2 linked regions of the Anolis sagrei genome follow. The protein of the gene in region 1 binds, or shares a complex with, the protein of each later gene. Links are inferred from orthologs where the notes say so. Each region holds a gene or a part of one and is shown on either strand. Other genes may lie near its edges.

The links.
Region 2: the proteins of DLC1 (region 1) and TNS2 are in contact, whole or in part, in an NMR structure (PDB 2LOZ), measured with the Homo sapiens proteins. The link is inferred for Anolis sagrei from reciprocal best matches to the Homo sapiens genes DLC1 and TNS2. Residues at the interface, in NP_001335010.1 of Homo sapiens: Glu811, Asp812, His813, Lys814, Pro815, Gly816, Thr817, Phe818, Pro819, Ala821, Leu822, Thr823, Asn824; in NP_736610.2 of Homo sapiens: Asp1268, Leu1269, Leu1270, Arg1271, Gln1272, Gly1273, Ala1274, Ala1275, Cys1276, Lys1317, Ser1319, Ala1320, Gln1321, Thr1324, Leu1387, Asp1388, Pro1389, Asp1390, Gln1391, Val1403, Leu1404, Leu1405, Gly1406.

What each region holds. Positions count from the first base shown.
Region 1 is NC_090025.1:72,529,848-72,533,769, forward strand, and holds the start of DLC1 (rho GTPase-activating protein 7), read left to right. Parts: upstream 1-1,037; 5' UTR 1,038-1,291; intron 1,292-1,801; exon of another isoform or gene 1,802-2,328; intron 2,329-3,922. UniProt on the Homo sapiens protein: Functions as a GTPase-activating protein for the small GTPases RHOA, RHOB, RHOC and CDC42, terminating their downstream signaling.
Region 2 is NC_090022.1:183,699,620-183,703,541, forward strand, and holds the start of TNS2 (tensin-2), read left to right. Parts: upstream 1-1,092; 5' UTR 1,093-1,145; coding exon 1,146-1,247; intron 1,248-3,922. UniProt on the Homo sapiens protein: Tyrosine-protein phosphatase which regulates cell motility, proliferation and muscle-response to insulin. Phosphatase activity is mediated by binding to phosphatidylinositol-3,4,5-triphosphate (PtdIns(3,4,5)P3) via the SH2 domain.

The sequences.
Region 1 (3,922 bases):
CACTTTACGTCCTGGTGTTATTTGGAAAACTTTGGAGATGGATGATGGGACTTGCAGTCACTTCACTCACTTCCTGAGACCACTGAGACCCTCGCCAATGACTAATCAAGACTAAACTTGGCACATGGAGCTTCAATGACCCACTCAACATCCTGGTGCAGTTTGGAGGAGGACAGACCATGGATGATGGGACTTCAAGTACCTCCACTCCCTTCCAAAGATTGCTGCAACCCTCTTCTAATGACCAATCAAGACCACACTTGGCACACAGAGCCCCCATGATCCACTCTACATCCTACTGCAGTTTGAAAGGGGATGGACTTTGGATGATGGGACTTGCAGTACCTTCACTCACTTACTGACACCACTGCCACCCTCATCTAATGACTGATAAAGACCAAACTTGGCACACAGAGCCCCCATGACCCACTCTATATTCTGCTGCTGTTTGTAGGAGGATGGGCCATGGATGATGGGACTTCAAGTACCTTCACTCACTTCCTGAAAATAATGCAGCCGTTATCCAAAGACCAATAAAGACCAAACTTGGCATACAGAACCACCATTACCCACTTTCTCTAATAACCCGGGCAACGCCGGGTCCCCAAGCTAGTATACAAATAAAATGAGTTTCAGTACAACACAAACAAGTCAACAGAAGACATTCCTTGTAAACCTTCACAATTGAGATCAAACTCAGCAATAGAACTATTATCTTATTTAAAACAAATGAAATTCTGTTGTAGCATTTGGCATCTCAGAGTCTCATTTTTTAATTCTTGTAGCCACAGTTAAAAACAAAATAGTGTCTGATTTTTAAAAACTCCGCAACAACACAGTATTATTATCCCATAGAAATCATCATAGGAGCTCTGGTAGCATTTGCTATGTGAATAGTTAACATTTATTATTAATTGATACTCTAATTAAAGCCACGCTAGTGCTTTCCATTAGCTTACTCTCAAATTTTTACAGAGCTGTCCGTCTGGTTTTAATCAAAACCAAATGGCAATCCAAGTTCCCAGGCTGGAACAGCTCAGAGGAAATCATTCAGAGAAGGCAGAAGAAAGCAGGAAAGATAAACAGCAGATAGTTTCACCAAATCTGTATCGCATGGAGGATGTAGATCCTGTGGGCTGCTCCAGAGATATGATTCCGGCACCCTGTCAGACTGCAAAAGAGTAGTTACAAATGTTCTGTGTCAGCTGAATTCTAATATGATCAAGATGGAGTCTATACGCACGCTTCTATAACTTTGGATCTGTGAGGCTCTAGAGAATACTCCATAGAGGTAATACGCTATATACGTGTAGACTGTGGCTGCCTTTATATGCAATGGCATTCTTTTCTCTTCATTCTCATTGGCTAAAGAGCTCACTGGCAAAGCTTCGTCTTTGAGTTATATTTGCAAAGGCTGCAATTGTATTATCTATCCATCTTGCCTCTTTTTTTCCCTCTCCTCCTGTGCAATTCTTTGCTCAATAGAGTAGGGGGGAAAACGTCTTTAAAGCATGGCAATATCTTCTTTCAAGCTAATTTCCTTAGATGTGGTTCATTTATTATTCAAGAGAATTAAAGAGATATTTGGAATGCTTTCAAAGTTATTGTTTTATATGGGCTCAAGCGGTAGAAACAAAGTATTAACATAGAGAAGTCATAAAATTGGGGACTGGAGATATAAATATCCAGAGGCAGAGTTTCGTCAAATGCACTGTATCCAGATTTTCTGCCATTCCTGTTCTCTCTCTCTCTCACACACACACACACACACACACACACACACACTTACTTTCACATGCCTACTACTCAACAGCAGGAAATACTTTTGAAGCAATCTGGGCCTGGTTCTTTGAGGCCCCATCTCACAAAACATCAGTCTGCATTTAGTAGACAGAAGTAACTAGGGAAAGCTTGGTAGAATTCCATTTCGTTGAGGCTCCCTCCAGCTGCAGAATGTGTTTTGGTCAGAATCACACATATAGAGCAAAAGTGCTGAGAATAGAGCAATGATCTCAGCAATGAAATCCGAACTTTATGCTTGCGGAGGCTGAGAGAAATTCTGGGTGGGTTCTTTTCCCCCCACTTTCCCTTCTCTCTTTTTTGTGTACACAGCCAAAGCATTTTGAGGAGTAATTTTGACTATTTACAACTTGGCATTTTCACGAGTTAAATCTGCAAGTTTTAAAACTTTTTTTAAAAAAAGCTAATAAGCTGCTTTCAGCTATGCATACATTTTCTGGAATCTGTTAGACAAAATGCCAGGACTCTTTAATGAAGCTTTCTGCACTGAGGATTGCATTCGTATAGCCGGAATGGGGAAAAAACACAGTAAGTGAAATATTGCATGCCATCAGTGTCTTTAAATATGGATACATGCATGGATAAGAGATCTGAATTTTTCTATGTTTTTATTTTTCTATGTTTTTATTTTGTTAAAAATGGAAATATTTTACTTACTGTTGATATCTATTGCAAATGACACTTGCAAGATTTTAGTGTGTATGCTTTGCATTGGCTATAGAAACAAAAAGTTGGAATGTATTTTGCATTTTTCCTCGTTAACAATAAGAAGGGAGAGTTTGGGGTAAAAAAGTGGCATCACTCTTTAATTTACAGTCCTACAGAAGTCTTCAGAAGGAAGTCCTATTAAGTTCATGTTCACAGATAAATGTGCATAGGATTGCATCCTTGGCTGTTTATAACAGCCACCTGAGTTTGGTTCCATATAATTTTGTGATCTTAAGTGTGACTCCAATGCAAGATCATGATATCAAGTTGTGAAATGTGTCAGTCCTATATAGACTGTCAAATGTCAAAAGGAATTCAGGCAGAATTCCGATACAGGAGGTTAGGAAGTAGAGCCACCCCAGAACTCTGTGGGGCTTACTTCTGAGAAAATGCTCTTAATGCTAAATTCAGAAAATCTTTTTCATGACATATATCAGCTGTCATTTTAAAGAAGGAGGGAATTACTACAGAATTAACGCTACCTCTACTGCAGCTTAATATTTTGATTCCAAATTCTCTTTGGATATTTCCATAGAGCAAAACATTATTCCATTCCAACCCTGTATGAAACCATAATAGAGATGGTATATCATACATACATACTAGTCACAGAGGAGATGTGTGCAAGAATTCCAACCAGTGATGGATGATGGAGTTGATGAAATGATAGTGAGTAGGCTTGGTTTCAACAAAAATGGTTGAAAACCTGTTTCAGATGTAGGGGGCGCTGGTGGTTCGATTCTAAAGTCACTTCCAGTTTTTTTTAAAAAAAAAATCAAAACTTTCCAAAACTTCCAAAACTTCCGAATTGCTTCGTTAATGGCAGACACATGTGCGCAGTAAGAAATAAACAGCACTGGAACTGAGGAAACTTCATTGGATTCTCCATCCCTCGTTTTTAGACTATTCCTGATGAAACTTGCTACAATGGTAGAACACATGGACCACTGTTAGCTCACCAAATTTCATAACCTTTGACTTATCCATGGATTTTTGGCGAATTTTCAAAGTTTTATAAAAAGCATTTTTAATAATAAAGAATATCTGTTCCTGGTTTGAAAATGTTATTTCCTGTTTCATTGGGTGGTCTTTACTTTGAAAGTAGCTGTTCTACTCCAGAAACTTTGTTTATGTGGCACAAACTGTGTTAAATTGGTGCAGAACAGAAATCACAGTACAGACCCCATCAAGGGACATCTAGACTGATCCCCTTCTTCTGGGCAGAAAGGCACCATCCAAACTCTCCTGACATCTATTTGCTTCCTCTACTGAGTTAGTGGGAACTCTCAAGACACATCCATCCATTTATTCCTATTTGCAGATGCAATCAATCATTTTATTTCATCATTACTTACTGACGTAAAGGGAGGGCTGGCTGGCTGTGGTGGGTTATCCCAGTGCCTTGTTCATGGGT
Region 2 (3,922 bases), on another chromosome or scaffold:
CGGGCTGTATGGCCATGTTCTATAACAGTGGTTCTCAACCTGGGGTCCCCAGATGTTTTTGTCCTACATCTCCCAGAAATCCCAGCCAGTTTACCAGCTGTTAGGATTTCTGGGAGTTGAAGGCCAAAAACATCTGGGGACCCAAGGTTGAGAACCACTGTTCTAGAAGCATTCTCTCCTGACGTTTCGCCTGCATCAATGGCAGGCATCCTCTTGCTGTGTCCAAAGGGGATTTCTCCCAGATAAGTATGGACCCTTTCAGACAGGCCCTATATCCCAGGATCTGATCGCAGGTTTTCTCTTTATCCCAGATTATCTAGCCGTGTGGACTCATATAATCCAGTTTAAAGTAGAATTAGATCCTGGGATATAGGGCCTATCTGGAAGGGCCCTGTGTCTAGGCATATACCTTTGAAAACCCAGAAGTTGCCGAGCCAATGTATATAAGATTTAACATAAATGTTTATCCAGCCCATCACGCGCGCACACATCTATATACACATTCCTGCTTAGGAAGCAAAAACCAAGCTCTTTTCCTCCTCCCTCTCTTGAGATGGGCCCCGAATCCGCTGACCCAGAGCACCAAAAACTGGAAGGAAACAGGATACAGATCTGGCTGAATGGTACACATGTCTCTTTGTTACTCCCAAGCTGCTCTGGAGGGATTTTCCAGTGGTAATATGTTTCCAATTATCCTGTTACGCTCTTTGGAGTCTATGCATTCTGACAAGGCGTCCTTTCCGTTTCCAACAATATGTCATCTCGCCCTGCTTTCCCTTCATTCCATGTTCTTCCCCCCAAAGGTGATGACCTTCATCCCCATGTTACATGCACGCTTACACATAGAGTCCGGCTAATTTACCTACATCCCAAGAGCTTGGCTTTTGCCACCTGTTTACAGGCCTGGTTTTATAAGCTCGCACGCGGCTTCATCTGGCAGGGCTGAGTTTGCTCTGGCACTGAGCTAAATATTATTAAGGCGCTCTGTGTGTATGTGTGTGTGTGTGTGTGAGTGATGAAGGGGGGGGTGGGACAGGGAGGAGGAGTTTGCAAAGCAAGGCAGTTCCAAAGATTCTGAGAAGGGGGAGAAAATTTGCCCACAACTTTGCCGGAGAAAGGAGTTGGGACTCGGAGAAGGGGATCGTATGGGCTGGACAGGAGGGCCTGATTGTTGGGGGACCGACTGCTGCTCTGCACCCCAGGCAAAAGGGGGCCCAAGAGGCACTGCCAGAATGCAGCTGACCAAGGTGTGTGGCTAAAACCCTGCTCTTTTTCTCCTTGCTTGGTTCTTCTTTACACAGGGCAGCATGGAATTACTGGCTGCGTCATTGGATGGAAATCATTCAGCCCGAGGCGCTGGCTGTTTGTGGCACAGGATGGCAAGGGGTGTATGTGCGTGTGCGTACAAAGAGAGTTGCTGGCTAGGAGCAGAGGGAGAATTCATAACCTCCCAACTTTCTGCACATTGATGAAAGTCAGAGCAGGTGTGTAAGCTGTGTCAACGGAAACCTAGTTCAGTTTTGAATCTTTGCCTGCTTTACATTAGTATTCTTTATCTACTTTGTGGCAGCCTCCTCTCGCAGTCTGTTAGTAAACGGTCTCTAAGAGTCTTTAGTACAATGCTTGATGGATATGACCAATCTTCTGACAACATAGCAGCAACTCAAGGCTAGTATACTGATGTTACTGGCAGTGATGGTGGGTTTTTTGTCGTTTTTCCTTTGTCGTGTCAGGAGCGGCTTGAGAAACTGCAAGTCGCTTCTGGTGTGAGAGAATTGGCCGTCTGCAAGGCTGTTGTCCAGGGGACGCCCGAGTGATTTGATGTTTTTATCATCCTTGTGGGAGGCTTCTCTCATGTCCCTGCATGGGGAGCTGGAGCAGATAGAGGGAGCTCATCCTCCTTTCCCCGGATTCGAACCTGTGACTTGTTGGTCTTCAGTCCTGCCGGCACAGGGGTTTAATCCACTGCGCCGCCAGGGGCTCCTAGTGATGGTGGGTGGGAGCAAAGGAAACAACACAATGAATTAATGTGAGCAAGTTGCTTAGATGTACCACTGTCAGGATGCATTCCCTGCTACTCGGACTGTAACTTTTATTTATTTATTTTATTTATTTACCTCTGAGGATGCTTGCCATAGATGCAGGCGAAACGTCAGGAGAAATGCCTCTAGAACATGGCCCTATAGCCCGAAAAAAACCCACAAGAACCTTTTATTTATTTATATGAAACTGGGTTTTTGTTGGGTTTTTTTCGGGCTATATGGACATGTTCAAGAGGCATTCTCTCCTGACGTTTCGCCTGCATCTATGGCAAGCATCCTCAGAGGCAATCTTTGAGGATGCTTGCCATAGATGCAGGCGAAACGTCAGGAGAGAATGCCTCTTGAACATGGCCATATAGCCCAAAAAAACCTACAAAAACCCAGTGATTCCAGCCATGAAAGCTTTCGACAATATGTTTATTTGAAACATTTATATTCCACCCTCCTCACCCCACAGGGGACTCAAGGCAGAGCACAACATATATACGGCAAACATTCAATGCCGGGACATACTTAGGTGATCCCTCGTAGTCCGAGGATGATGGTCCTCCAAGTGTAGTATCCTGGCAGTGGGTCTATAGGTGACTGTGGAGCCCTATTCTTGATCTGCACCTTCTCCCACAGTGAGGGCATCCAGGTGGAAGGCGGTCCCGGTCAGGGTTGGCTTGATACTATTTCACCAGAAGACATACAACTTTGAAGGCCTAGGAGATCAAAGCCATGCAGTCATTCCTTCCCACCAGGCACTGATGGGCTTCAGGAGTACACTGTGGTGCCATCTAGCTTTCTTTGCACTCCTGTAGCACATGTGTTGTGCAAGGAGGTATTGAATACCTCTGTGCATTACCCTCTGAAAGTGTGTGCATTACCCTCTGAAAGTGTGTGCACTTGGTTGAGCCACCAAGAAGATTCTATGTTTTGGAAGTGACTTTCCCAAGCTCTGAGGTTCTGTTTGTGAGAGTTGCTATTGTTGGCACTTTTCAAGTTTCTTTCAATCCCGTGGGGCTGCTGTATATTTGTTTTGTTAATACTTCTTGGCTATGATGCACATTTGTATGAATGCATGCACATGGGTTTTTAACTGTCAGTATACTATGTTGTTGTTGAGTGCCTTCAAGTCATTTTTGACTTACAGTGACCCTAAGGCAAACTTACCATGGGGTTTTCTGGGAATGAAAACATAAGTTGCCTAAGGCCACTTAATAGTTTGTCATAGCTGAGCAGGGGTTTGAACCCTGGGGTATTGTGTTGGTTTCTGAGCTGTATTACCATGTTCTAGGAACATGTCGGCTAGAAACCACACAACACCCCAGTGATTCCAGCCGTGAAGGCCTTCAACAATACATTGATTTGAATCCTGTTTTCCAGAGTTGGAATTCAGCACTCAAACTACTACACCATTCTGGTCCAGTACTGCTTTTCTACATAGCTTAGAATAGGCTTATTAAGACAGTAAAAGAGAAAAATCCTCTTATCTGAAACTATTGTGTAAGTGCAACTGGATCTACTGTAAGATTGAGCATTCTATTAAATATGCTTAACATCCATTTAAAAAGTAAAATAGTGACGGTTCATAAATAAGCACATCTTGTTTAAGAAGCCAGATCTGATAGAAGCCATCCTATTTTCCTAATGATTAGTTGGTTCTCAGTTTCCTCTTCATGTGCATGATTGCCAAAAAGGCAGATTTGCTTGGAAAAGTTTGGAAAGGTTACTTTTCTAGACTGTAACTCCCAGAAAACATGTGCTAGCACACCCAGCGGTTCTCCTCTGTTGAACACAACAGGGCTTATTTTTTGTGCCAAAGATTGCACAATAAATAAATGGTTGTTGGTATGTGCCTTCAAACTCTTTCTAACTTATGGTGACCCTAAAGTGAA